Linked DNA regions of Ovis aries. The protein of the gene in region 1 interacts with the protein of each later gene in a pairwise test. Links are inferred from orthologs where the notes say so. Each region holds a gene or a part of one and is shown in the gene's direction. Other genes may lie near its edges. The genes, in order: TK1, COPS6, APLP1, CCDC90B, GDF9, LRIF1 and transducin-like enhancer protein 1.

Region 1 (3,583 bases):
TGGGCCTTCTGCGATGTTGCAGACAACGTGGGCAGCTCTGACTGTACCTTGGATCATTCAGGAACCCCTGCTGGGCAGCTCTGACTGTACCTCGATCATTCAGGAACCCCTGCTGCAGGCCCTGGGTTCAGTGTTTGGGCAGAGAGTGGGGTGGCATGTGAACAGGGCGCAAAGTTCAGGTGGAAGAACTGAGCTCTCTGACCGCGGGCATCACTGTAGCAGGCAGGGTGGAGGACCCCTCGCGGTCCCCAAACCCTGGTGTGGAGGGACCATGTCTGGACAGGGAAGGTAAGATGAAGAAGGTGCTCCTCCCAGGGTGGTTCTGCTCTCAACCTTCCCCGTGGATTTCTGGCAGTGTCTAGAAACAGTTTTGTTTGTGACAATGGGGGTCGGGTCGGGGCACTGGCCGACAGGTCCTTACAGGCTAGCGGCTGCATTTCTGTGACCTGTGACAAGTCCTTTAGAGAAAAGGAGGGGCCTCACCTAGAGCCAGGCTGGAGCCTAGGGGTGGGAGGTGCCATTTCCATAGTGCAGGCTCGGCAGACCCTGCAAACCCTGCAAACCCTGCAGAGGCCAGTCAGATCTGGCTTTGGTGAATCCTGCTGGAACTGGTTTGGGTTCTCTAAGCCCTGTCCTGGTCCTTGTCTGGGTGAGCCCTCGGGTTTTGTAACTACGCATCTCCACGAGTAGCTTGGAGAGAGACCCTTTGCCCAAACACTGGAACTCCCCACTTCATCCAACCCACAGACCAGATAGATGATTGACCAGTGAAAGGTCACCAAAGGATTTGTTTAAGTAGTGGCCCCTTGGGCCACTTGAAATGAAATTTGATTTACCAAGTAAGGACTTCCCACGGGTGGTGTGTTGAGCCATCCTGCTCTGTAAGTGGCCAGTGGAACTCCTGCCCCTTCTCCAGGCATCACACGGCACATTATGTTTAAAAGAAGAAAAAAATAAAAGCAAACACACAGAGCCTGCCTCTCAGCCAGATAGCATATGTAATAAATTATTTGCGTGTCCTTAATCCTTAAACATCGCCAGGGGCCTTCCTTGCCTTTTCCTGGGCTCAGGAACATGAAGTCATTGCCAGGGTCACAGCTAATGGGTCCAACGGAGAACCTGGTTCAAGCCTGAGGCAGCGGATCCAAGCTTTGGTCCACTGCAGTGGCAGACGGCCTCTCCACCTGGGTTGCATCACCCTGGTGGCAGTTCCAGGCGCCTAGCCTGGAGCGCAGCCTGGCTCTGCTGTGGAAAGTTGGTGCGATGGGGGAGTGAGTCGGGAAGCTGTGGATGTGCAGGCCGTGTACCAGATGGGAGGGCTGGCGCGGCCTTGTTCTCAGCTCCACGTGGATGCAGGTAGCTGTAGCTCCTGGGCCTGGCAGCGTGTCTGCAGCTCCTGGAAGGGGCTGCCCAGGGCGGAAGCTCACTCCCTCCTCCGCCTCTCACCCTTTCCTCTAGTTCCCTGACATTGTGGAGTTCTGCGAGAACATGGCCAACTCAGGGAAGACCGTCATCGTGGCTGCACTGGATGGGACCTTTCAGAGGAAGGTGAAGTGTCTGGTCCAGGTCTTGGGGTGGGACCGGGGACAGAGGCCCAGGCAGCGCACAGAAATGGACAGCCCAGGGCGCCCTTGATGCCCACACCATGCCTAAGCCCAGGCACTCAGGCCAGCCAGTCCCAGCTCCCTGGGGTGCCCCTGACTCCACCTGCCTAGGGCAGGTGCTCTGGGGAAAGGCAAGGTCCAGGCTTAGTTTCCTGGCTTCAGGGGTGTGAGTCAGGGTCTCCAGGAAAAGCCCACCCGGCGAAATGAGTGTGCACTCCTCTTTCTGTGGATTGTACAGGCTTTTGGGACCATCCTGAACCTGGTGCCCCTGGCAGAGAGCGTGGTCAAGCTGACGGCGGTGTGCATGGAGTGCTTCCGAGAGGCCGCCTACACCAAGAGGCTGGGCGTGGAAAAGGAGGTAGCTGCCCCCTGCCTTCTCCAAGGGATGGGCGGGTGGGGGGCAGGGAGGGGCGCCTACACCTAGAGGCTGGGTATGGAGAAGGAAGTAGCCGCCCCCTGCCTTCTCCCAGAGGCGAGGGGTGGGGCGCTGCGCCCCAGCCCCGCTCAGTCCAGGCGCTTCCTGTCGCACCGCACGTCAGGTCGAGGTCATTGGAGGAGCAGACAAGTACCACTCTGTGTGCCGCCTGTGCTACTTCAAGAAGCCCTCGGGTCAGCCCGCCGTGCTGGACAGCGAAGAAAATAAGGAGAACTGCCCGATGACACTGGGAAAGCCCGCGGAGGCCGCGGGAGTCCGGAAGCTGTTTGCCACTCATCAGATCCGGCAGTGCAGCCAGGCCAACTGAGGCACTGGCCCCTCGCTGGGGCGGGCGCTCACCCGCCACCTGCTCCCCCCACTCGCCCGCTGTCGCCCCCTGGCGGATGCCGGGCCTTCTTGGAGGAGGAAGTGGCGGGGGGCGGGGTTGGGGCGGGTAGAGGTTTCACCACCAGCAGTTGGCCTGCTGCTGCGCCCTTTCCCAGGCCAAGGAGGCGGCTGGTGGTCTGCACTGCACACTTCCCTCCTTGCCTGCCCACCAGCTTTTCTCAGTTCCCATCCCGGCTGCGGGGCGGCTGCGGGGCGATCGCAGTCTCCCCAAGCCGGAGCTGGCCGCCCTATGGGGCGGGGTCTGGCCGCTGCAGCCATCCCTCTTGGGGTGAGGCCAAGCCGCAAGCTGCTGTGACATCGGCGTCGCCGGCTTCTTCCCCGTTTGTGGCGTTTGCTGTTGAGTTTCTGTTCTCACTGGGAAGTCCATATCCCAGCACCTCTGGCTCAGCGTGGGCCTCTTCCCACGCAAAGACTTGGTCCCTCTGCCTGGGATGGGCTCCTGGCTGCCCCTGGGGATGGCTGGACTTCTTATTTCCTTTGGGGCTGAAAGCCCTTCCTGATCTGGCGATCATTTTCTCCGGAATTACAGCTTCTCCCATGTGGGTGACACTCACCCTGCTCTGGGGCTCAGCTCCCAGGGGCTTGTTTTCTAAGGAGGTGGGGGCTGTGTGTATGTGGAACTGATAACTAATATTAAAATCTATTGGTTGGTAAAAGCCTATTTCTCTTTTAACTGTCTGGGATTCCCCGGGTCTCACTATAGACACCTCTGACATGATTCAGGTATGGGGATTTCCTTTCAAATCTTTTTCTAGTACTCCTGACCCCTTAACCACAAATCTTTTTAACTGAGATATGAGCATCAAGTGTTCTAACAGGCATGTTTGCCTGCTCTTCTGCCTGGGAGGGTTTCAGGTCAAGATGAGTGGATGCAGGAGCCTGGGGCTTGGTTGGAAAGATGAAGCCTTGGTCTGTGCTGCCAGCTGGGGCTGTGAGGTCAGGTTTTATTTTGTGAAACAGACACTTGACAGTTCAGGAGCCAGGAAGACCAGCTCTGCCGTGCCTTGGGAAACGGGCTGTGGACAGCTTATGGGAAGGTGAGGGTGCTCCAGGGTGGGGTGGGCCTGGGCTGTGTGTTCCAGATGGGGCCCCAGTTCCCCACCCTTACCCCAGCTTCTCCCTCTCACTGGCTTGTGGCAGGTTACAGAGGTGCAGT
Region 2 (4,207 bases), on another chromosome or scaffold:
CTTTTAAATAGTAGGCAGTTGCTCTGGAGTATAAGGCTTCTTAGCTGGACTGAAGGCTGAGGGGGGAAAAAAAGGTTATTCTGCTGTTAAATTTGCTAGTTTGCATTGCTATTTCAATCTTTACAGAATTCCTGTCTTTTTGTTGTTTCAAATGCTTTCAAAACATTGTTCAGATAACTATAAAACTAAAAACAGTGGTTAGGAGCGCTTTAAGAGGGATTGACTTTAACAGAAGTCACCCTTATCATCAAAAAACATTTCCGGGGATCTGCTGGTTCTGGGCACCAGTACGCTTCATATGGTCAAGATCAAGGTCTCTACCTGTTCTCTGGGCTTCACTTGTGCTTCAGATGGTAAAGAATCTGCCTGCAATGCAGAAGACCCAGGTTCAATCCCTGGGTCGGGAAGATGACTTGGAGAAGGAAATGACAACCCACTCCAGTATTCTTGCCTGGGAAATCCCATGGACAGAGAAGCCTGGTTGGCTATAATCCATGGGGTCACAAAGAGTAGGACACGACTGAAGCAAATTCACACCTGCCCTGTGTGAGGTAACACTTTGGGTACGGTGCAGACACACAGTGAAAGAGCCAGCTAGGTTGTAGGGGCAATGAGATGGGAGATGGGGTAAAGGCAGTGTACCCAACTTGCTTGGGTGCAGGGGTGGGGAGAGGGCTGGAGTTGGCCAGGTTTGCCAAAGTTAAGTTTGGTAAGATTGATGGAGATGGAAGGTAGAGGGAAGTTGGGACGGGTTAGAAAACGCTGGGGGTGTTAACAGAAAGAGGAAAGATAAGCCGTGTAGACAGAGTCACTCAAGACCAGGCTCCACTGCAAAGCATTCACTCAAACGTCACTTAGGTGCCCCTGTGTCAGGCACGGATTTGGTCATCGGTGTTACAGTGATGAAGGTGACAGAGGGCCCTCAGGTGGGCGTGAGTGAGGCGTGTGAAAGGAGCAGACGTGAGGGCCAGTGTGGCTGAAGCAGGGGAACCAAGGAGCAGCAAAGTAGAGCCCATGGCCAGCTGGTCAGGCAGGGCCCGAATCTTGCAGGGCTCTGCAGGCCGTGATTAGGGATTTCGGTTTTATTCCGAGCGCGGCAAAATGACGTTCCATTCATTCTGCAACAGTCTTAGGAACTAAGCGGCCTTATCCCAGTTTTACTGACGAGGACGATCAGGGTGGGGTTAGGTAATTTGTTCACGGTCAGTTGCAGGCGAAAAGGGGCTACAAACACCAGCCGGATCTCCCTGCCCCGGGCCTTCCCCGCAAGGCCCGAGTCTTCCCCGCAAGGCCAAGTAGGAACGGCCCGGAGTGGCCCAGGGTGCGGGCAGGCGTGCGCCTCGGCGACAACGCGCATGCGCCGCTGCCTACGGAAGCCGGGAGGGAGGGGGCGGGGCCGACGCTGGCGGGCGCGGGGGAAATGGCGGCGACGGCGGCAGCGGCGAACGGGACTGGAGGGAGCAGCGGGATGGAGGTGGATGCTGCAGGTAACGGGCCGTGCGGGGGCGGCTTCTGGAGACTTCCTGGCGGGCCTGTCGAGGCCTTCCTAGAGTCCCGGGAGCAGTCGGGATGGCGAGCCGGCAGCGAGCTCCCTGGGTTAACTTGCGGGAGGGATGGATGGCCCGACTTTGCCGTCTCCCGTTCCCGGCTCCCGGGAGGAACGTGGGGCCTGGACTCTCACCCCCTCTTTCCCCTCCTTAGTCGTCCCCAGCGTGATGGCCTCCGGAGTGACTGGCAGCGTTTCAGTCGCTCTTCATCCCCTCGTCATTCTCAACATCTCAGACCATTGGATTCGCATGCGCTCGCAGGAGGGGCGGCCTATGCAGGGTGAGTGTTCGGCGTCATTCTCCAGCCTCCTCCCCTCAAATAGTGGTCCTTTCTCCTTCCTTTGCTGAAGCTAGTTCCTCCTCCGCAAATCATTTCTCTAGTACTTGGTTCACGTGACCTCAGACCCTCAGGCTATTATTAGAGAAGTTTGAGGATTCCTTTAGTGTTAGTCGCTCAGTCTTTGTGACTCCATGGACTGTAGCCCACCAGGCTCCTCTGTCCTTGGAATTCTCCAGGCAAGAATGCTGGAGTGGGTTGCCATTCCCTTCTCCAGGGGAATCTTCCTTACCCAGGGATTGAACCCAGGTCTCCTGCATTGCAGGCGGATTCTGTACCATCTGAGCCACCAGGGAAGTCCTGGAGGAGTCCTCACCCTCACCTCTTCTGTGTCCTTTTCTCCTCCAGTTATTGGGGCTCTGATCGGGAAGCAGGAGGGCCGAAATATTGAGGTGATGAACTCCTTTGAACTGCTGTCCCACACCGTGGAAGAGAAGATTATCATTGACAAGGAATATTATTACACCAAGGAGGAGCAGTGTGAGAGGGGAATAGACGTGGGGGAGAAGAGTGGGAGTAGGGGAGAAAAGAATGGGGAAGATGGAGAGGGTTGGGGAAAAAATAAACAGAGAAATAGGACCAGAGTAGAGGAATAATGAAGAGAGAGTAGCTGAAGAGACCTTAGAAAAAGAACACATATGGGTTATTCCTCGCAAAGAAAGCAAGGAGTGAGAAAAGACAGAATAGATTAGTTGTTCTACGTGGAGCCAGGATGGGAAGGGGAGAAGCTGGTAAAAACACACCAGGAGTTTCAAATTGAAGGATGATTTAAAGATATACTGTGTGTCCTGGCCCCTTTCTCTCCAGTTAAACAGGTATTCAAGGAGCTGGAGTTTCTGGGTTGGTACACCACAGGTGGGCCACCTGACCCCTCCGACATCCACGTCCATAAGCAGGTATACACGTTCACACAGGTACATATTGGGGTGGAGACGAGAGAATGAGGGGAAGGAAGATGGACCCTGACACACATGTGCATCCTCCCTTCTTCCAGGTGTGCGAGATAATTGAGAGCCCTCTGTTTCTTAAGTTGAACCCTATGACCAAGCACACAGATGTGAGTACAGTGACCCCGTGCCCACTTTGTCCTGCCTGCCTGTCGCTCTGCCCCTGCTTTTATTGTATGACATCTCTGTTGAATCTTTTTGCAGTTTACCATCTGTGAGACTTGTCATTTAACCTTTAAACTGCATTTTCCCCGCATGTGAAAATGGGAATGAGTTCCACTTCAGTAGGTCCTTGGGAAGATTAGCTGAGGAAATGTAATGTGAAAAGGGCCCAGTCCGGTTTTGGTGCTTAGTGTAGGTTCAGGTGTCTGATGTTTAGTTAAGAGCTGTGCTCTCTCTTCTTCACAGCTTCCGGTCAGCGTTTTTGAGTCAGTCATAGATATAATCAATGGAGAGGTAGGTAATGCCCTACCCTTCAACCCACACAGCCTGCCCCTGGGGTCTGCTGCTTTTGACTCTGTGTGTCCCATAGGCCACCATGCTGTTTGCTGAGCTGACCTACACTCTGGCCACAGAGGAAGCAGAACGCATTGGGGTGGACCACGTGGCCCGAATGACAGCAACAGGCAGTGGAGAGAACTCCACTGGTAAGGGTGGCTGCAGGGGCTTCCTTAGAAGTGGGGGGAAGGTGTGGCCACACACCTTCTCAACTTCAGCCTGACCACCCCCCCAGTGGCTGAACACCTCATCGCACAGCACAGCGCCATCAAGATGCTGCACAGCCGCGTCAAGCTCATCTTGGAGTACGTCAAGGCCTCTGAGGCAGGTAGGACAGTTATCTCCCTGGTCCCTGAAGCACGTTTGCTCTCCCTCCTGGGGAAGTGACAGCATCCGCATTGATGCAGCTTCTTGTGCCTTCAGGCGAGGTCCCCTTTAACCATGAGATCCTGCGGGAGGCCTACGCTCTGTGTCACTGCCTCCCGGTACTCAGCACAGACAAGTTCAAGACAGACTTCTACGATGTGAGTGCAAGGCTCAGGATGGGGAGGTGGGGCTCCTGCTGTCTTCTGCATGCAGGATATGACCGGCTCCTGTTCCCTGGTCACATGGTGGGGGACCCAGAGCTCCTGGGAAACTTTGTTTTTTTTCTGTCCCCTCACAGCAATGCAATGATGTGGGGCTCATGGCCTACCTTGGCACTATCACCAAGACGTGCAACACCATGAACCAGTTCGTGAACAAGTTCAACGTCCTCTATGACCGACAAGGCATCGGCAGGCGGATGCGGGGGCTCTTTTTCTGACGAAAGGGTACTTGAAGGGCTGACGTACAGGGGTCAGACAGCTGTCAAGGGGAGGGGTGCTACACTCCCTTGA
Region 3 (3,500 bases), on another chromosome or scaffold:
CGGTCCTGGCCCCCGGGAGGCAGAGTTGAGAGGGGTGATGACGAGGAAGAGGAGGAATCCTTCCTGCAGCCAGTAGATGATTACTTTGTGGAGCCCCCACGAGCTGAGGAAGAGGAGGACGACGACAGAGTCCCACCCTCAAGCTCCCAGACCCCTGCAGGGGTCAGCAAAGGTGAAGCCATCTCTAAACCCCACCCTCTCCACCCTAGAAGGAGGAGGATTTAAGAGAGCTTTGGTGTAGGGGCATTTGAGAAGGGACCTGCTGGGGAGAAGCCCTGTGGGGGGAAATGGGAGGGATGGGAATGGCTTTGGATAGAGTGGAGGTGAAAGGGCCACCCTGTGAGGAAGGCAAAGGGTAAGGGTGGTTTGGGAGTACCCAGGAGTGAAGGAGCCATTTGGTATGTCTGAAGGATTATTTGGTGGAAAGCTTGAAGGATAGTGTGATGGATTCCTAAACTTTGCAAGAACAGGTCCAATTCAGAACCAGATCTGTGATGCCAGGCAGCAGCTATGGTTGAAGTGAACACACAGGGGTCTCCACTGCGCTCTAGGAAATGCAGTTCTCTGGGAAGGGAAGCTGACCTGGAGCTGGGCTTCAGGCTGACTCCTGGATTCCCGGCCTTGCAGTGACTCCCACCCCGAGACCCACAGATGGTGTGGACGTGTACTTTGGCATGCCTGGAGAAATCAGTGAGCATGAAGGCTTCCTGAGGGCCAAGATGGATCTGGAGGAGCGCAGGATGCGCCAGATTAATGAGGTGATGGTACTGGGGGCCCCAGGATCCCCCATAACACAGAGCTCCCTAATTACCAGGAAATTGCTCAGGGACACATTGAGACTACCTCTCAAGGTTCCCGCAGCCTCCATCATCCCCCAGCCCTCCACCCACCCCTAAGATGACCAAGGATCCCCAAGCCACCTAGAGTCCCATTGAGACACCGCCAGATTCCATGGACACTCTGATGCGTGGTACTCTTCCACTTTAAATGCCTCCCGAATCCTCTCTCTCTTGGTGATCCAAGAGGCCGCGGGACTTAAGGGATCTGGAGACTCTGAAGAAGGATGGGATGTGGGGACTTAACTGGGTACAGCAGAGTGGCTTCTAGGATCCTGAAGCTCCCCTTTCCCAGGTGATGCGTGAGTGGGCCATGGCTGATAACCAGTCCAAGAACCTGCCTAAAGCCGACAGACAGGCCCTGAATGAGGTAGGACAGCCTCTAGAGTGTCCTGCTTTGGTACTTGGGCCTATCCACTACCTGGGGCGTAATGAGCTTCAGCCTGGCTCATGCTTTTTCTGGCCTCATTCAGTTTCACCCCTTCCTACTGATATGGGCTTCTCCTGGCCCCATCCCTACCCTTGGCTCCGCCTCTCTTGGCCTACATCCAATCTGACTTTGCTTTCCTCTTCTTCCTCCTCCCACTGGCCATATTTTACCCTCTCTTAACCTGATCCTAACCTCTGAGGGCTGGCTCTGGAGACCTCTCCCAAGCTGGGGCCCGCAGACACAGCCAAGTCCTTTTCAGCCTCTCTCTGATGCTCAGCCCTGGCCCCCCACCCCCGACTCTGGTCCTGCCCCTCTCATTTCACTTTTACCCAATCCCTCCTCAGTAGACCCAGCCTCATCACTCTCCCAGCCACCTGTCTCAGCCTCACCTTGGCACAGCCCTACCCTGTGTAGACCCAGCTCGGCTTAGCCCCATTCCCTGACTCCTGCTCCCGCTCCACTCAGGCTTATTTAGTTACAGCCTGTCTCCAGAGGGCCCTGCCCAGGCCCAAGCCCCACCTTTCCTGCAATACTTGGTCCCTTTCAGCTTCACAGGCTCTGTTCCTACACTCTTCCTACCCATACAGTGGGCTTCACCCGGGCTCCCAGTAGAGCTGGTTCTGCCCCTACTCTACCTGGCCCCTCCAGCCAGTCTCCTGTCTTCCAGTCCCACCCCAGTTCGACTCTGCCTAGGCCTGGATCCAGGGCATCCCACCCCACTTATGGTCCAATAGCCCTCCCTTTCCAGACTCCCTTTGACCTGGGTTTCATCCAGCTGGGCCTCTCACCTGACCCTGTGCCCACCCCGTCACCAGCACTTCCAGTCCATCCTGCAGACCCTGGAGGAGCAGGTGTCCGGCGAGCGACAGCGCCTGGTGGAGACCCACGCCACCCGAGTTATTGCCCTGATCAATGACCAGCGCCGGGCCGCCTTGGAAGGTTTCCTGGCGGCGCTGCAGGGGGATCCACCTCAGGTACGGGAGCCGTGGGGGGTGGGCGGAGGGTAGAGGGTGGAGAGGGCTGGGACGGGCCTGGGCAGCCTCCATCCCTTCCATAGCCGGAGCGGGTCCTGCTGGCCCTGCGGCGCTACCTGCGAGCTGAGCAGAAGGAGCAGAGGCACACACTGAGGCACTACCAGCACGTGGCTGCCGTGGACCCCGAGAAGGCCCAGCAGATGCGCTTCCAGGTGCTCAGCTCTTCCAGCTCCAAACGCTCTGCCATCCCTCGGACCTTGGTCTCTTGGACCCCATCCCTCAGATGCTTCTCTTGCCCCTCAGACCCTCTTTCTTTTTTAGCAATTCATTTATTCATCTATTTCTGTGGGGCTGAGCTGGGTCTTTGTTGCTGTGCAAGGGCTTTCTCTAGTTGTGGCAAGTGGGGGCTGCTCTTCCCCGTGGTGCTCGGGCGTCTCACGGCAGCGGTTTCTCTTGTTGTGGAGCATAGGCTCGAGGCGTGCGGGCTGCAGTAATTATAGCCCGGGGGTTCAGCAGTTGTGGTGCGCCAGCCCAGCTGCCTCAGGGCACGTGGGATCTTCCCAGACCAGGGATCGAACCTGTGTCCCCTGCATGGGCAGGCGGATTCTTAACCACTGGACTACCAGGAAGTCCCTCAGACCCTCTATCTGCCCCTTGGACCTCCTTCCTCTCCCTGGATCCCCCCTTCTGTGCCTGGGACCCATTCTAATCCCTCAGATCCTTAGTTGCTGACCCTGGAACACTGCCTCCACCACCCCCTGTGCCTCTGACCCCTTTCTTGTTCTTGAATTCCCACTTGCTGCCCTTTGGATTCTTATTTCCTGTCCTAGAATCCCCCTCCTGTGCCTGGAACCCTGTTCCTGTCCCTCAACGCTCCTTCTTCCCTAACTCCGCTTGTTTCTCCCTAAAACCCCTGTTTAGTGCCTTTAGATCCTAATTCTTATTTTTTGGATACTCTCTTCCTGTCCAAGAATACTGATTCCATACTCTTGAGCTCCAGGCCTTGCCCTTGAACCACATCATTTCTAACTTTTTATAATGAATTATATTTTTAAAATTATAACAAATTATAATTTATTTATTTTAAATTTTATTTATTTATTCATTTATTTTTAATTATAGCAAGTTATAATTTGTTTACATAGAAACTAATTATATTTATTTATTTTTAATTTTTGGTCACACCCTGTAGCACATGGGGTCTTAGTTTCCTAACCAAGGCTCAAACCCACATCTCCTGCCTTGGAAGGCACAGTTAAC
Region 4 (4,118 bases), on another chromosome or scaffold:
TGATCATTATTTTTTAGAAAATCTTTAACAGGTAATAATGGTATGTCCTTCTGTTCTATTTTATTTTTTTAAACTGTGAGATTAAACTCTTTTTGAGGAGGGGTTGTTCTTTGTTTTTCAATTTTTAAATAATCACTTATATTTCCTCTCCATACACTGTTAAAGCCCTGTCAGGAATTATGTTTTCTTTTTTCCCGCCTACTTTAAACTGTTTATTTTGCATTGGGGTATAGCCGGTTAACAATGTCGTCGTAGTTTCAGTTGTACAGCGAAGGGACTCCTGTTCTTTTAATGTGTCTCAGTGCTTAGAACGGTGCTTGTCATGCGGCTGACACAAAGCTCTGAAAACAAATCTGATGACTGAGTGGTAACTTTACATTCTTGTAAGAATAATTAAGCCGCTAAAACCTGACGACTGTTTACCGCTTTGTTGTTGTGTTAGTCGCTCAGTGTGTCCGTCCAACTCTTCGCGACCCCATGGGCCGTAGCCCACCAGGCTCCTCTGTCCGTGGGATTCTCCAGGCAAGAGTACTGGAGTGGGTTGCCATGCCCTCCTCCAGGGGATCTTCCCCACCCAGGGACTGAACCCAGATCTCCCGCATTGCGGGCAGATTCTTCACCGTTTAAGCTAACAGAGAAGAATTTACAAAGAATACATCCCCGCATCTGAACCCCACAACTACTGCGTGCTGCTGTTTTCAACATTTTACCATGTGGGGAAAACTCTGGAGTAACTGAGGTCTGAGCGAGATAAAATGGTGATATATAAATCAGGTCGTCCCAAGAAACGAGAGAATTCAATTTCCCTTCTTCCCGTACACTAGAGGGCGAAGCGGCAAGCTTTGCAGCAGCAAGAAATTAGAAACGAGAGCCTCGGGGGGACTACACTTCCCAGAAGCGCTCTGCGCAACTCCCGGCATGCTCAGCGGCCAAGGCCTGCACGTCCCAGGTTGCCGCGGGGTTGGACGTTACTCTGTCGTTCCCTAACCCAAAGAAGTGATGGCCGCTGGCTCTCTGGCGGGAGACGGCCGTTTAGCTGTACATCTCATTGCCAGGGAACGGGCGTCGGAAGGTTCTCAAACAAGATTCCACTTCTTAGGGCGGTAACGGCGTGCACTGGTTGGGGTGGGGCGGTGAGAGAAGCGGAGCCGCTGTAAACCATGCTGGTGAGCTACGGGTCCGTCTGTGGAGAGGCCCAACTTCGCGAGACTGCGCGCGGTGCGAGCCTGTGCTGGGAAGCGCGTTGGAGGTGTTACGGGCCGAAAACTACATTTCCCGGCATCCTCTTGGCGCCAGAACTACGTTGCCCGAAAGGCTGAGCGGGATTCGCCCCGTCTTCTCACCCGGCTGCCTCCGGCTGGAAAACCCGTGAAATGTGGGGCCGCTGGGTTCGGCCGCTCCTGTATTCTGAGGTTTTGAGCCCCTGTGGGCGTTTTTCGCCGACCCTGCGGAGAGGTGAGGAGAGGCACCGTGTCGCCCGATGCCTTTGTTCGCTGTGGGGAGGTGGTGCCGGCTTGGGCGAGAGGAAGGCGAGGGTGCCGCCGCCTCCCTCCAGCCCGCTCCGGGGCCTGGCAACCCTGCTGCCGAGCCTCGCCCCGAGGGGTTGAGGCGGGAGGCGCGAGGGCCGAGAACGGGAGCGCGAGCCTCCGAAGGCCTGTCTTCCCGCCTGGCTCTTTCGCTCGAGCCCCGCCAGGTGTCCCTCTGAACCCTTCTCTGTCAAGGGAGGCTGGTCGTCCCCGCCCCCTCGCAGGCGTGTAGTTTGTGCCCGGAGAGGGCCGTCACCTTTCGCGGTTTGTTCAAACTTAGACTGTGTTACTCGGGTGCCTACCTCGAGCCCAGGTCATTTGGTAATCTACAGCGCCCGTTTCACTTCAGGTCCGCTCTATTTTCGCTGTAGTTTTCGGTTCGGTTCAGTTCAGTCGCTCAGTCGTGTCCGACTCTCTGCGACCCCATGAATCGCAGCACGCCATGCCTCCCTGTCCATCACCAACTCCCGGAGATCACTCAGACTCACGTCCATCGAGTCAAGTGATGCCATCCAGCCATCTCATCCTCTGTCGTCCCCTTCTCCTCTTGCCCCCAATCCCTCCCAGCATCAGAGTCTTTTCCAATGAGTCAACTCTTCGCATGAGGTGGCCAAAGTACTGGAGATTCAGCTTTAGCATCATTCCTTCCAAGGAACACCCAGGGCTGATGTCCTCTAGAATGGACTGGTTGGATCTCCTTGCAGTCCAAGGGACTCTCAGGAGTCTTCTCCAACACCACAGTTCAAAAGCATCAATTCTTCGGCGCTCAGCTTTCTTCACAGTCCAACTCTGACATCCATACATGACCACTGGAAAAACCATATTTTTCGGTACTCGGGAGCAAACTCCAAAAGACGGTGAAGGACAGGGAAGCCTGGCATGCTGCAGCCTGTAGGGTCGCAATGAGTCGGACTCGACTGAGCGACTGAACAACAAACGCTTTATTTACGCTGTGGTTTTCAGTACTTGGCAATCGCCTTTCAAGAAAAAGGAACGTGATCACGGGAAGCTACAGTGGTTGACGGGCAGGTGCGCCTGTCACCAGTGTGTGCTGGACAACTGAATTTATTGAGAGTCGTTTCCAGAATCTTTTCCCCACAATTTTTAAACCCTTTGGGGTTGTCTGCAGAGTAGTTACTTCGTACTAACCTCAACGTTCTCTATTCACCTTAAATCTTAAGTGCAGGGGAACTGAGATGTCCAGCACCACAACTTTGAGCTGTTTTGCTCGTTTCATTTTAGTCACACAGCAAGACTGCAGTTATTGACCGCCTCCCCGCGCCGCCCCCCCCCATCTCTAAGACTGCTGTTTAGTGCCCAGGGTCCTTGGCACGGTATTTGTACTTAGGATGAGCTGGTTGGATGGCATCACTGACACAATGGACATAAGTCTGAGCAAGCTGCAGAGATGGTGAAGGACAGGGAAGTCTGGCCTGCTGCAGTCCACTGGGCTGCAAAAAGTCGGACAGGACTGAGCGACTGAACAAAGGTATTAGGTTTGTGTGTGTATTTAGTCGCTCAGTCATGTCTAACTCTTTTGAGACCCCATGGAGTTTAGCATACATACACATTATGATGTACAAAACGGATGTTTTTTGAACCCTGGGAAATCACCCCAGTCTCAATTTTTTGTAAACTTTCAGAGCTAATATAATTTGGGTCCCTCATTACTAAACAAATATTTATTGAATGTTTACTATGTTCAAGTAGTTTAAGCTTGCCTCAAGTCAGTATTCAAGGAATTTGAAAACCTTGACCTCTGACTCAGGGAAGGATCTTAGTTTTCATCTAATTGAATTACTGTTTAAAAGATAAAATAAGGCACAGGAAGATGTTGTGGAAGTTTTGTGACCACTGGTGCTGGTTTCCTAGTTCATTACTATTTCTCTTACTTAGCAAAACATCAAAAACACTGAGCTTCTAAAAACAGATTTTTTGGTTGTCCCTGAGAAGTCAGTCACATAGATCTTGTGTTGGTTTATTATTTAATATATTAATCCTGATTGTCTTGATGGAACTAGAAAAGCATATGTCAACAGACCAGCATGTAAAAATATATATTAATGATCAGCTATGTTACTGAAGTGTTGCAACTCTAAAGTTAGTAATATTTTTTAATTTTTAAATTTAATTCAAGTATAGTTGATTTACAAGGTTGTGTTAGTTTCCAGTGTGGTGTTATATATATACACATCTATACTATATGTTCTTTTTCAGATTCTTTACCATTATACTTTATTTCTGTTTTGAAAATTCTTATTGAAACCTAGTTGATTTGATTTTATACATAGCAATTTGTATCTGCTGCCAAACCCTTAATTTATCCCTTCTCACACTCATTCCCCTTAAGTTTCTATTCCATGTCTGTGAGCCTGTTTCTGTTTTGTAAGCACGTTTGTCTGTATCATTTATTAGATGCTGCATGTGGGTGATAGCATATGATAGTTGTCTTTCTCTGGCTTACTTCATTTAGTATGATAGTCTCTAGGTCCATCCACGTTGCTGCAGATGGCATTATTTCACACTTTTTTATGGCTGAGTAATATTCCGTTTTGTATATAATCTCTCTTTTTTTGTTTAAAAATTCTTTTT
Region 5 (4,091 bases), on another chromosome or scaffold:
GCCCACTGTTCACTGCCCAGGAGGAAGGCAGGAACGTTGCGTGTGAGGCGATTCCATTTTCGGAAAGTGCTTTCTTCTTAAGGATACTGCTGTCCTGTACAGCTGACTGACTTTTCCACTTGATGCAACGTGTCTGTAAATGTTTTTTTCATGGAATTGCTGGCCATGTGTAATCTAGGACTAAGTTTTCATTCAGCAGTTTGGGTGTGTTTTATAACCCTCCTTGGCAGATCCGAGCCAGGGAGGCTTGGCAGACAATGAACTTAAAATTTACCAGTATACCTCGGTTTTATCAGCCTGGGTACTGCACAGACTGGTTCTGTATCACGGTAAGTATATTCAGCTCTTCTTAGTGTACCCATGTCTCATTTATCTGAAACATAATCTTTAACCTGATCTTAGCTCAGAGGCAAGAACATAAATACTTATACAGGTAAGAACAAAAATACCTAGCAAATTCTCCCACCATTTGAGTGATTAATAAAAAGCAAATCTTTCATTTATTTTCTAGCACCTGAAAACGTCTTTAAACCTTTCAATTAAAGTATGCATAGATGAATGAGCAGACCCAAATAAAGGCACCAAGATATTATACTTTAAAGTGAGTCAAGATTAAATGTGATGTCCTCCTTTTTAAAGCATATTGCAGTATTCCAAGTACATATCCTTAAAAGGCTGCGAGAACTAGGCAAAATAGCAGTTCTCTGCTCTCTGGAATCTCAATTTCAGTTGTGAATTTCTCTCACCCTCCAAATCAGCATGCAGTAAATAAATATTCTAAGCACCTGGAAGTGGGAGAAGTGGTACAGATCCAGGGAGAAGAGTAAACCCAATACCATAAGTTGCATACAAACAGATCTGGGTATCATCATGAATCATTAGCTGTTCCCCATGCCTTCGAAGTTTCAGCAAGCATCTAGGGAACATTTTAAAAATCCTAATCTCTCTCAAGAAATCGGCCGCTTTTTTTTTTAAAGATCACTCCTTGTAGCCTTTCAGCTACATAGCTAGTCCATTAAGTTAAGAGATTTTAAATAAATGCCAGGGGAAAGGAAAAGGAAAACTATATGGCCAAGTAAATCTGAATCTAATTAGGACAAACTGAATGAATAGGGTGTTGTCAGCTGATAAAAATTATCCACAGCTAAGCATCCTTAAGGTCTGATTACAGAATTGAACCTAGCCCACCCACACACCTAAAGTTTATTTAAGAGACCAACCGAGGCTCTTCCTGGTTTTTAGGAAGAAGACTGGTATGGGGAAATGTGTTCCTTGCTAATTCTTCCAAGCCATGGCGCTTCCCAACAAATTCTTCCTTTGGTTTTGCTGCTTTGCCTGGCTCTGTTTTCCTATTAGCCTTGATTCTCTGCCTTCTAGGGGAGAAGCTCAGATTGTAGCTAGGACTGCGTTGGAATCTGAGGCTGAGACTTGGTCCTTGCTGAACCATTTAGGTGGGAGACACAGACCTGGTCTCCTTTCCCCTCTCTTAGAGGTTCTGTATGATGGGCACGGGGAACCCCCCAGGCTGCAGCCAGATGACAGAGCTTTGCGCTACATGAAGAGGCTCTATAAGGCATACGCTACCAAGGAGGGGACCCCTAAATCCAACAGACGCCACCTCTACAACACTGTTCGGCTCTTCACCCCCTGTGCTCAGCACAAGCAGGCTCCTGGGGACCTGGCGGCAGGTGTGTAGGAGCAGATTGGTTAATGGGTGGAGGGAAGAAGAAAGACCTTTTTGCATTTCAGTTACATAAAGGAGTTGGCCCTGCTCCTTGACTTGCATTTTACTTTGCATGGTACTCAATATCCAAACAAACCTGGTGCTTGATCTTACTGTTTATTCCTAATGGCCTCATGGGTTGATGTAGGCTAAATCTCTTGCTAGAAGAGATTTAATGGCCTTAAAACCTGGAAAGAGTGCTGCTGGAGGTTAGCATCTTGTCCAGGGTCACAAAATCAAGACTGTAAAAAAAGGTATTTTGACTTCGTTGCATATTCTTTCTAGTCTACCAATGTTGGCCTGGACATGAACCTACAGTACCTCTTTCAGCTGTTAGTGTGCTTTAGTAAACAGGATGTTTTCCCCACGTTTGTTGCTTTCTGTGAGAGGAAAACTGAAGTCCTTATGTGGAACAGTAGATCACCCTACAAGGACAATGTGTTAACAATCTTGTGTGTGTGAGAGAGATGGGAGCAGTGCTATTTAAAAAAGAAAAAAAAAATTATATTCATTAGCTCGTGACTTACAGAAAACCCTTCTAACCCAGCAGGTCATTTGTGGCTATCTTAAACCCTTTCTCCTTCCTTGACGTCCTGTTTTGTTACAGTGGGTTTAGAGCTTCCATTTGTTGTCAGTCTCAAGTGTTCCAAATTAACTTAGAGAAGTACTTTTTCTTTATTGATTCTGCCGGTAAGAACTTAGAATGTTTTCTTAACAAGCCTGGCAAGTGTCTTTTGATAGTTTTCCTCTTAAAGACTTTCCAAGAGAAAAATACTGCTTTCCTTTTTAGCTTTCTCTTTGTTTGCAGCAACTTAATAAGATTCTAAAACTTCAAAATATAATGATTCCCTCTTTTAATTCCCCACCAAAGCTATTCTGAATTTCTGGTGATCCAGCAGTAAGTGCTGGGACTTAGATATGGTACAGATAACTTGCTTTTTCTTTATAACCCCTATCCCACCCTGACGTTTAAGGCTTGAGAATGTGGGGAGAAAAGGGACAGAAGCACATTCTGAGGTACTGATTCCTTGATTTGACTTCCTGTTACATATGGCATTACTGTTGGATTGTTTTTCTTCTCAGGAACCTTTCCATCAGTGGATCTGCTGTTTAACCTGGATCGTGTTACTGTTGTGGAACATTTATTCAAGTCAGTCTTGCTATATACTTTCAACAACTCCATTTCTTTTCCCTTTCCTGTTAAATGTATATGCAACCTGGTGATAAAAGAGCCAGAGTTTTCTAGCAAGACTCTCCCTAGAGCTCCATACTCATTTACCTATAACTCACAGTTTGAATTTAGAAAGAAATACAAATGGATGGAGATTGATGTGACGGCTCCTCTTGAGCCTCTGGTGGCCTCCCACAAGAGGAATATTCACATGTCTGTAAATTTTACATGTGCGGAAGACCAGCTGCAGCATCCTTCAGCGCGGGACAGCCTGTTTAACATGACTCTTCTCGTAGCGCCCTCACTGCTTTTGTATCTGAACGACACAAGTGCTCAGGCTTTTCACAGGTGGCATTCCCTCCACCCTAAAAGGAAGCCTTCACAGGGTCCTGACCAGAAGAGAGGGCTATCTGCCTACCCCGTGGGAGAAGAAGCTGCTGAGGGTGTAAGATCGTCCCGTCACCGCAGAGACCAGGAGAGTGCCAGCTCTGAATTGAAGAAGCCTCTGGTTCCAGCTTCAGTCAATCTGAGTGAATACTTCAAACAGTTTCTTTTTCCCCAGAATGAATGTGAGCTCCATGACTTTAGACTTAGCTTTAGTCAGCTGAAGTGGGACAACTGGATTGTGGCCCCACACAAATACAACCCTCGATACTGTAAAGGGGACTGTCCCAGGGCGGTCGGACATCGGTATGGCTCTCCGGTTCACACCATGGTGCAGAACATCATCCATGAGAAACTTGACTCCTCAGTGCCAAGACCATCCTGTGTACCTGCCAAGTATAGCCCTTTGAGTGTTTTGGCCATCGAGCCTGATGGCTCAATCGCTTATAAAGAATATGAAGATATGATAGCCACTAAGTGTACCTGTCGTTAACAGACTCCTGTCAAGTAAAACCATGAGTGTCCTGGCCAGTGTAAATGCCGCGCCCCTGTCTATGCCTTTGGGAGGAAGTTTCATGTGTCAAATCTCTGACTGTACGACACTGTGTGTTGTGTAAGGAGGAGCCTGTATAGATTAGCATATTCTGTGGCATCTGTCAATGTAAGGGATAACAGCTGCCTTCCTCATGGCCAAATGTTTAAATGAAATGTATTTCTTTTGGAGAACTTTGAATTTTTTCCCAAGTGATTCTTTTTTCCTTTTTGTAGGAGTCTTCTTTTTGATGTAAGAAAATTTTAAAACTTAATTAGCAT
Region 6 (4,121 bases), on another chromosome or scaffold:
GTACTGATGGATATGAGAAGTTAAGAAACGCAAAAGTTAAGAAATGAGTGGTGAGAAAAATGAAACAAGCCAAGAATGAGCAACTCATTTAAGTAATTTTGCTTTCACAGACAGGAAGTGAAGTCACTCAGTCGTGTCCGACTCTTTGCGACCCCATGGGATGTAGCCTATCAGGCTCCTCCGTCCATGGGATTTTCCAGGCGAGAGTGCTGGAGTGGATTGTCATTTCCTTCTCCAGGGGACCTTCGCAACCCAGGAATTGAACCCAGGTCTCCCGCATTGCGGACAGACGCTTTACCGTCTGAGCCACCAGGGAAGTCTCACAGACAGGAGGAAGATAAAGATCAAAACCAAGATAGTAAAAAGGGCTCAACTCTCTGCCTCCTCTTTAGTATGGGAATATTTGGCTGAAAGATAAATACCACTCACACACACAGGATTCGATATCGTCAAAATTAATCTTTACCAAAGAGTGAATAGTAGTTTAAAAGTATTACTCTATGATAATCGAGACGTCAAGATCTTTCATCATTTCATTAACGAGTTAGGAGAATGACTAACCAGCATTTCTAAAAGACCAAAATAAACCTTTAACTTAGCTACCATACATTAGTCTCCTAAATTTGAACAGTATGAGCCTGTTTACATGTTTACTGCTGGTAGCTAATAAAACTAGATCTTTTAAACCACTCCTCCCACAACTTCGTCCTAGTCCCAGCTGAAGCCAAAGACTCAACCCGTTTCTCAGATAAGAGACTTAACAACAGTAATCAAGAGACATCTGCCAAGTATTTCTCTGGAGATTCAGGTAAAGATGCCAAAAAGTAACTCAATACAAGAAACGAAACTTTTAGGGAATGAAGAAACTATATGACAGTGTTATTTCCAGCGAGTATTAAGGGGTGGAGGGAGAGCGTAGATTTAAGTCTCGAGGCAAACCTTTAAGTAAGAGAATAAAACCCGAGAAACCCTCAGGAAGTAGCAATAAAACAGACGCTTGCCACAGGCAGGTGTCTTAAAATTTTCTCACTCCGTAAGTTCATATGACTCCGAAAGAGCCCTCCAATGTCTTTTAAAGCACGGGCGGAAAAGAAAACAGACCAGCGGCAAATACAAAGGGAGGAAATTTGCGATTGCCCCGGAAACATTTTATTTTGCGTAGGCATCTGGAGAATTTTCTTCTGCGATTCGTTCCTTGATCCGGAAGAAGAGATGGCAGACAGCACCTTTGATTGGATCGCAGTATAAGGGCGGGGCGCTAGCGAGCCAGTCATCTTGGTGACCGGATGTGACGATAGCGGAAGCTGGCAGGCTGAGCTTTGCTAGCTGGCGGCTTTGGTGGGCGGGGTCGGTCGGGCCCTGCTGGCTCGGTTGTTCACGGCTGACCCGGCATCCATAGGGGCGGTGCCACTAAGGCCACGCCTCCAGCGCTGACTCCGGGCGGCTCTGGAGCGAAGTCCCTGGCGCTGAGTGGGTGGAGACTCGAGACCCTTCTCTGAGAGGCTAGAGACGGAACCGCCCCTTCAGTCTCTTCTACTCTTCCGGTTTTTGGTGGCTACGCCGCCTCCCTCCGGAGCCTGAGGATACGCCCTCTAGAGAGCCTGCCGTCTCTCTCCTTTCAGCTTCGAACCCCTCTGTGCTCCGGGACAACTCCAGCCCAACATTCTCTCGCTCTCGCTCTCGCTCTCGTTCTCTTCCCTTGGAGGACCTCGGCCCCGACACTGCCCCCTTTCCTGGATGTATTGGCCCCTCCCAACCCTATAAAATGTCCAATAACCCACAGAAGGTCTTCTTGAAACCTACAGAGGAAAAGTCAGGCAACGCCTCGCATTGGTAAGTACCGGTTTCTAATCTCCCTCGACCCGGCGGCCCCTCTCCTGTCTCTTAGCAGGATGTCGAGTCAGCCGTCGTTTCCTGACGTTCTGCAATTCAGACGCCTTTGATCCCTCTGTGTGAGCATTCCAGGGAAAGTGCGCGGCAGTTTGGCGCTTAGAGCTCTTAGCGCACGTCCCCCTTCAGAGTCTGACGCAGTCAGCCTCTGCCCTGGCGCCGCAGGACTCCATCGTCTGAATTTCATAGGCTGACAGAGTAGATCTCCATGGGAGAGGAAAATCAACATGGCCGGCGCGCCTGTATGACCAAAACCTTCTGGAAGATTCTCGCGCACTCGCAGAAAAACACGCAGCAATGAGAGCGAATTAGCAAATGCAGCACAGGTGGCGCTGGATCGTCAGGGAAAATATCTGTAATGTAAGAGTTTGTGGGAAGGAAAGGTTGTTGTTGTTTTTGGTAATTGATAATATAGAAACTGAAAAGTTGTTTTAGAATAAGGGAATCAATTTTTTTAAATTTGTTCAAATGATAGCTTTATTTGAAGATATTAAAAAATGAAAGAGGAATTATCATGTAAAATCCTTTGGAACAGCATATTTGAAGAAGGTATAATGAGAATGCCATCTCGAATTGGATGTGTATGTAGAGGAACTACATTTGTCAGAGGTAGATTGCTGTACTTCTTAGACACTTGTTTGTAAATTTAGGCAATAGTGTATCACTAACTCATTTTTTTTAAACATTATTCAAGATGAAATAAAACGAACAAAATTGTAAGCTAAGGTAGAATATTTTAAGTTAAACTATCCATGGTTTGTGAGTATCTAATAAGTGGTGAGAAAAAAGGTTGAGTCCTTGTAGAAGAAAATGTGAAGAAGAAATCATAGAAATGGAGATGTAAAAATCATGGAAGAGCATTTATGTTTGAAGAAAACCAGTATCACTACGTTTAATCCTTGATTTGCTAGTTACTATTTGTGAGGCCGTGACTTGGTTTCCAGTCTGTAAGTAAGAACACCCAGAGGTATTTTAAGGATTAAAAGAATGAATATACTAAAATACTTAGTGCAGTAAAAATAGAAAAGCGTTGTTTAAATGTTAGCTATTATAATTTTAAGGATACGATTTTACTTCTGTAAAAATTTTAGCCCAGGAAGTAGGTAGTTATGAGTAGATATGAAACCTGATTGTGATAAACACTTTTAAAAAGCATGCTTAATAATCTAAAATGAAATGGTCATCAAAAGTGATTACCTAAAACTGCACTGAAAACTGCCAAGAAGGAGCCATTGTATTTCAGGTCAGAACAAGAGCCAGCTTTTGTGCATGTACGTTTTTTGTTGGTTTATTTTTGGTGGAAGTTGAGAGGAAAGTCAGATAGTGCCTTGTATGGATACGCAAAAATGGAGCTAGTCTTTAATGGTTGCTGATTTCTTCTATCTTGTTTCAATACCTGTATATTTGCTAACGTTTGATTTATCCTAGTTTAATACAATTTGTTTTAGGGTTTCATTCTTTTTAAATACCGGAAATTAGAGTAAGAACCTTACTTTTTGTTTATTGTGTACTTTATTATCCTGTTTCTACTTTTGGCTATATTTTAAAACATTGCAAATTGAATTATGTTTTCTACATTTATCAATTGTTTGGAGTTAATTAACTCGCTGGTTTAGGCGTTATTTTTATCATCTTTGAATGCATTTTTCTTCAAATCCTTGAGGTTTTAAATCACGTATTTGGGACATTTGCCAGATGCCTTTCTGAAGCTCTTTGACATTTATTTTGGTTACTGTTTGCATATTTGATTCTGTTGTTTTATAATTAATCTGCAGGACATTCAAAGATACTTTTGTAAATACGTGGATTAATGTCAGCTCTTTAGTTTTTTGGAAGCTTCATGGTCTTATATATCTGATAATATTTTTATTGTAAAATCATTTTTATAAGCTTAAAATGGTTATATGATTTTCTTATTTTCTATGGATACTTGCATTTTTCTTGAGTTACCTCTTTCCTGCTGTAAAAGCTTTCAGTAATGTGATACAGAATGTTGATTGCTTTAAAAGTATCTCTCTAATTCAGCAGGGTATAAAATGTAAAACCCAAATTTAATCTTATAGTACAAAGGAGAAATCTGGAAGATATCTGTGATAGTAGGCATTAAGTTTATTTAGATTTGGACTGTATATGTAAAGAGCAAAGCTGGAGTCAGAATGGTACAGTTGAGGTACAAAGACCTTGGTAGAGTTGGAGAAAGAAGATAGTTACAGAGACCTAGATTCATGTTC
Region 7 (2,757 bases), on another chromosome or scaffold:
GCAGCAGTGGAGCTCACATCCTCTCCTCCATGCCCTTTACATTCCAAGCACAGCTTTAAAGTGTGAAGCTCTGTGGGAATAGTAAGTTAACAGGAAGAAGAGGCAGTGGAAACTTTGCTCTGAGTGTTGAGTTCCCAAGCAGTTCTCTCATGGATTCTGCCTGGTTTGCCATTGTGATCGAGCCTTGGAATACCTCTCTCCTATTCTAGTCACTCCCCTGCCTGCTCCCTCTTGGTCTGCAAAACCAGGCCCATGACCCCCCACACCATCAGCCCTGTGGTGGGTTACATCACCCTCCCTTCAGCAAGCCCCACCTGAGGCCTGGCAGAACATCTGTGCTCAGCAAACCCCTGTTGGTTGGTCATTCTTGGTGGTGATTCATTGTGTGTGTGTGTGTGTGTGTGTGTATGTGTTTTAAGTATAGTTGATTTATACTGTTGTGCTAATTTCTGCTGTACAGAAATACATATATACATTCTTTTTCTATATTCTTTTCCATTATGGTTTATCTCAGAAGATTAGATGAAGTTCCCTGTGCTACAGAGTATGACCTTGTTGTTTATTCACTCTAAATGTAACATTTTCATCTACTAACCCCAAACTCCCAGTCCATCCCTCTCCCTCCACCCCATCCTATCCTTGGCAATCACAAGTGTGTTCTCTGGGTCTTTGGTGGTGGTTATTACTGAGGCACGAGATTCCCCTTCAAAAGAACAAAGGCCTTGTGCTGGGATTCCAGGAGGACCATGCCCAGGGGTCAGTCAGCAATCAGCTCCCTCTGCCCTGTGCGTCTGAGTCAGGAGGCTGGCATGCCCCTTTGTCTCCAGGAGTCCAGATTTCCTAACGCAGGGCTTTTTCTAATAGAGAACGAGAGGTTGAGTCAATACATGAGCTCATGCTTTGCTGGCACGAAGGGCATCTTGGTGTTACTCACTCATGGAAATGGGTGTGCTCCTGGGCCCCGAGTCCGTGATGTGGTGATACAGGCCTTTGCGGTTACAGGCAAGGCCTGCCTCTTTCTGTAAGGAATACACTTGGGATTCTGTGTTTGTCTTTTTTTTTCCCCTTTTCACACTTAAACACTTTTCCAGACCTGGGAGGAATTTCACCTTCCAGCAGATTTGTAAGAATAGCTCTTGGAGCGTATTTAACTTCTCCTGTGTGGTGACCTAAAACAGCATTCCATTTCTTCAGCACTTGGATCATGAAAAAAGGAAAAGAAAATCTGCAGGTGCCGTTTCCTCTCCTCCTCGAGGGAAGAAGGTTGGTTTGATCTTGCACATCAGCAGACACTGAGGAGATGACACACGCCCGGCGAGTCCAAAACTAACAACACAACAGTGTTTACCTTGAGCTCTGGCAGGAAATCATTATTCAATCTGGTTTGTTTTATCAGGCAATTCCAGGGCCACACGGACGGGGCCAGCTGTATTGACATTTCTAACGATGGCACCAAGCTCTGGACGGGCGGCTTGGACAACACAGTCCGGTCCTGGGACCTGCGCGAGGGGCGGCAGCTGCAGCAGCACGACTTCACCTCCCAGGTGCGCGCTCGGCCCTCCCCGGGACCCACACGGTGCTCCGTGTGTGGCGCCCTCCCCAACCCTCGCCCCCAGGAGAGTGGGATCTAGACAAACAGACCGGACTTTTCATCTGAGACACACACACACACACACACACACACACACAGACACACACACACACACACACCCACCCAAATCACCCTGAAACACTTAGGCTGGCTTTTAAAATGCTGTAGGTTAAGACTTGTTAGTTGTTTTGTTTATCGGTGAATTCATTGCAGGAATTTGTGCCGTGAAGAACGTACAGGGTCTGATGTGTTGTCCATCTCCTCACCATCTGATGTAGGGGTGAGAGATGATTTGATTCTCATATAAATAGACCTTTAAAAATATGCAGGGATGTCACAAGTAGTAGAGAAAAATCACAACAGCTCTACAAGTTAATTCATTTCACTTACATCAGGGAGCTTAAAAAATACAGTGGTATCTCAGTGGATGCCTGTTTTATTAGTCATCCCTTAGAAACTGGAGTCATGGCTGACTAGATTTATGGAGTTTTGGAATGATGGGAAAATGGCAACTTTGATTGTGCGTTGTGGAGATTATTTAGATGTCAAGTGTCTGAATCTAGGCCTGTTTGGGGAAAGACAGTGCGCGCCATGTTAAGTGTTTTCTGATGGTGGAATTGTTTTGTTTTGTCATGACTTATTTACTTTTTATTTTGGAAATAAAAATAATTCGACTCAGAAAAATAGGACAGAAATGGAAAGCAACTAGACATTCAACTAAATTTCATGTCCCTGTCAAAATTTTGTTGAGTTCCTTATAGTCTTCCCTGTTCCTTTCCAGCCCTGTTTCCATTATGGTTAGGATTCTATTTTCGGTCTGCCTTTTTTTATATTAAAAAAAAAACTTCTTATGAAAAATTTCAAATATATATGAGAACAGAGAATGTTCAAGCATATATGAAAGCACAGAGAATTATATGATAAACTCCATATGCCCATCACCCAACTTCAGTTCCTAACACATAATCCTTCTCATCTGTCGTCCCTGCCCCCAAACACTGGATTATGTTTATTAAAGTAAATCCCAGACATTGTATCATTTCATCCATAAGTATTTCAGTTAGTATCTATAAAAGACAGGCTTTCAAGAATCCACGTGCAATACAGGAGACGTGGAGTTCGATCCCTGGGTCATTAAGATACCCTGGAGGAGGAAATGGCAACCC

What was found.
Region 2: the proteins of TK1 (region 1) and COPS6 interact in a two-hybrid assay, tested with the Homo sapiens proteins (2 studies listed by BioGRID and IntAct). The link is inferred for Ovis aries from reciprocal best matches to the Homo sapiens genes TK1 and COPS6.
Region 3: the proteins of TK1 (region 1) and APLP1 interact in a two-hybrid assay, tested with the Homo sapiens proteins (2 studies listed by BioGRID and IntAct). The link is inferred for Ovis aries from reciprocal best matches to the Homo sapiens genes TK1 and APLP1.
Region 4: the proteins of TK1 (region 1) and CCDC90B interact in a two-hybrid assay, tested with the Homo sapiens proteins (2 studies listed by BioGRID and IntAct). The link is inferred for Ovis aries from reciprocal best matches to the Homo sapiens genes TK1 and CCDC90B.
Region 5: the proteins of TK1 (region 1) and GDF9 interact in a two-hybrid assay, tested with the Homo sapiens proteins (2 studies listed by BioGRID and IntAct). The link is inferred for Ovis aries from reciprocal best matches to the Homo sapiens genes TK1 and GDF9.
Region 6: the proteins of TK1 (region 1) and LRIF1 interact in a two-hybrid assay, tested with the Homo sapiens proteins (2 studies listed by BioGRID and IntAct). The link is inferred for Ovis aries from reciprocal best matches to the Homo sapiens genes TK1 and LRIF1.
Region 7: the proteins of TK1 (region 1) and transducin-like enhancer protein 1 interact in a two-hybrid assay, tested with the Homo sapiens proteins (2 studies listed by BioGRID and IntAct). The link is inferred for Ovis aries from reciprocal best matches to the Homo sapiens genes TK1 and TLE1.

The regions. Positions count from the first base shown.
Region 1 is NC_056064.1:53,319,805-53,323,387, forward strand, and holds the end of TK1 (thymidine kinase, cytosolic), read left to right. Parts: intron 1-1,458; coding exon 1,459-1,548; intron 1,549-1,842; coding exon 1,843-1,962; intron 1,963-2,143; coding exon 2,144-2,347; 3' UTR 2,348-3,083; downstream 3,084-3,583. UniProt on the Homo sapiens protein: Cell-cycle-regulated enzyme of importance in nucleotide metabolism. Catalyzes the first enzymatic step in the salvage pathway converting thymidine into thymidine monophosphate.
Region 2 is NC_056077.1:36,794,581-36,798,787, reverse strand, and holds the start of COPS6 (COP9 signalosome complex subunit 6), read left to right. Parts: upstream 1-1,407; 5' UTR 1,408-1,420; coding exon 1,421-1,487; intron 1,488-1,701; coding exon 1,702-1,827; intron 1,828-2,232; coding exon 2,233-2,364; intron 2,365-2,691; coding exon 2,692-2,780; intron 2,781-2,878; coding exon 2,879-2,941; intron 2,942-3,239; coding exon 3,240-3,287; intron 3,288-3,363; coding exon 3,364-3,478; intron 3,479-3,564; coding exon 3,565-3,657; intron 3,658-3,752; coding exon 3,753-3,853; intron 3,854-3,993; coding exon 3,994-4,134; 3' UTR 4,135-4,207. UniProt on the Homo sapiens protein: Component of the COP9 signalosome complex (CSN), a complex involved in various cellular and developmental processes.
Region 3 is NC_056067.1:45,877,628-45,881,127, forward strand, and holds part of APLP1 (amyloid beta precursor like protein 1), read left to right. Parts: coding exon 1-172; intron 173-627; coding exon 628-758; intron 759-1,131; coding exon 1,132-1,206; intron 1,207-2,081; coding exon 2,082-2,240; intron 2,241-2,323; coding exon 2,324-2,452; intron 2,453-3,500. UniProt on the Homo sapiens protein: May play a role in postsynaptic function. The C-terminal gamma-secretase processed fragment, ALID1, activates transcription activation through APBB1 (Fe65) binding. Couples to JIP signal transduction through C-terminal binding.
Region 4 is NC_056074.1:11,965,025-11,969,142, forward strand, and holds the start of CCDC90B (coiled-coil domain-containing protein 90B, mitochondrial), read left to right. Parts: upstream 1-1,318; 5' UTR 1,319-1,373; coding exon 1,374-1,455; exon of another isoform or gene 1,456-4,118.
Region 5 is NC_056058.1:42,113,805-42,117,895, reverse strand, and holds GDF9 (growth/differentiation factor 9 precursor), read left to right. Parts: upstream 1-1,291; coding exon 1,292-1,688; intron 1,689-2,806; coding exon 2,807-3,771; 3' UTR 3,772-4,018; downstream 4,019-4,091. UniProt on the Homo sapiens protein: Required for ovarian folliculogenesis. Promotes primordial follicle development. Stimulates granulosa cell proliferation. Promotes cell transition from G0/G1 to S and G2/M phases, through an increase of CCND1 and CCNE1 expression, and RB1 phosphorylation.
Region 6 is NC_056054.1:88,340,050-88,344,170, reverse strand, and holds the start of LRIF1 (ligand-dependent nuclear receptor-interacting factor 1), read left to right. Parts: upstream 1-1,321; 5' UTR 1,322-1,765; coding exon 1,766-1,833; intron 1,834-4,121. UniProt on the Homo sapiens protein: Together with SMCHD1, involved in chromosome X inactivation in females by promoting the compaction of heterochromatin.
Region 7 is NC_056055.1:55,331,953-55,334,709, forward strand, and holds part of transducin-like enhancer protein 1, read left to right. Parts: intron 1-1,396; coding exon 1,397-1,544; intron 1,545-2,757. UniProt on the Homo sapiens protein: Transcriptional corepressor that binds to a number of transcription factors. Inhibits NF-kappa-B-regulated gene expression. Inhibits the transcriptional activation mediated by FOXA2, and by CTNNB1 and TCF family members in Wnt signaling.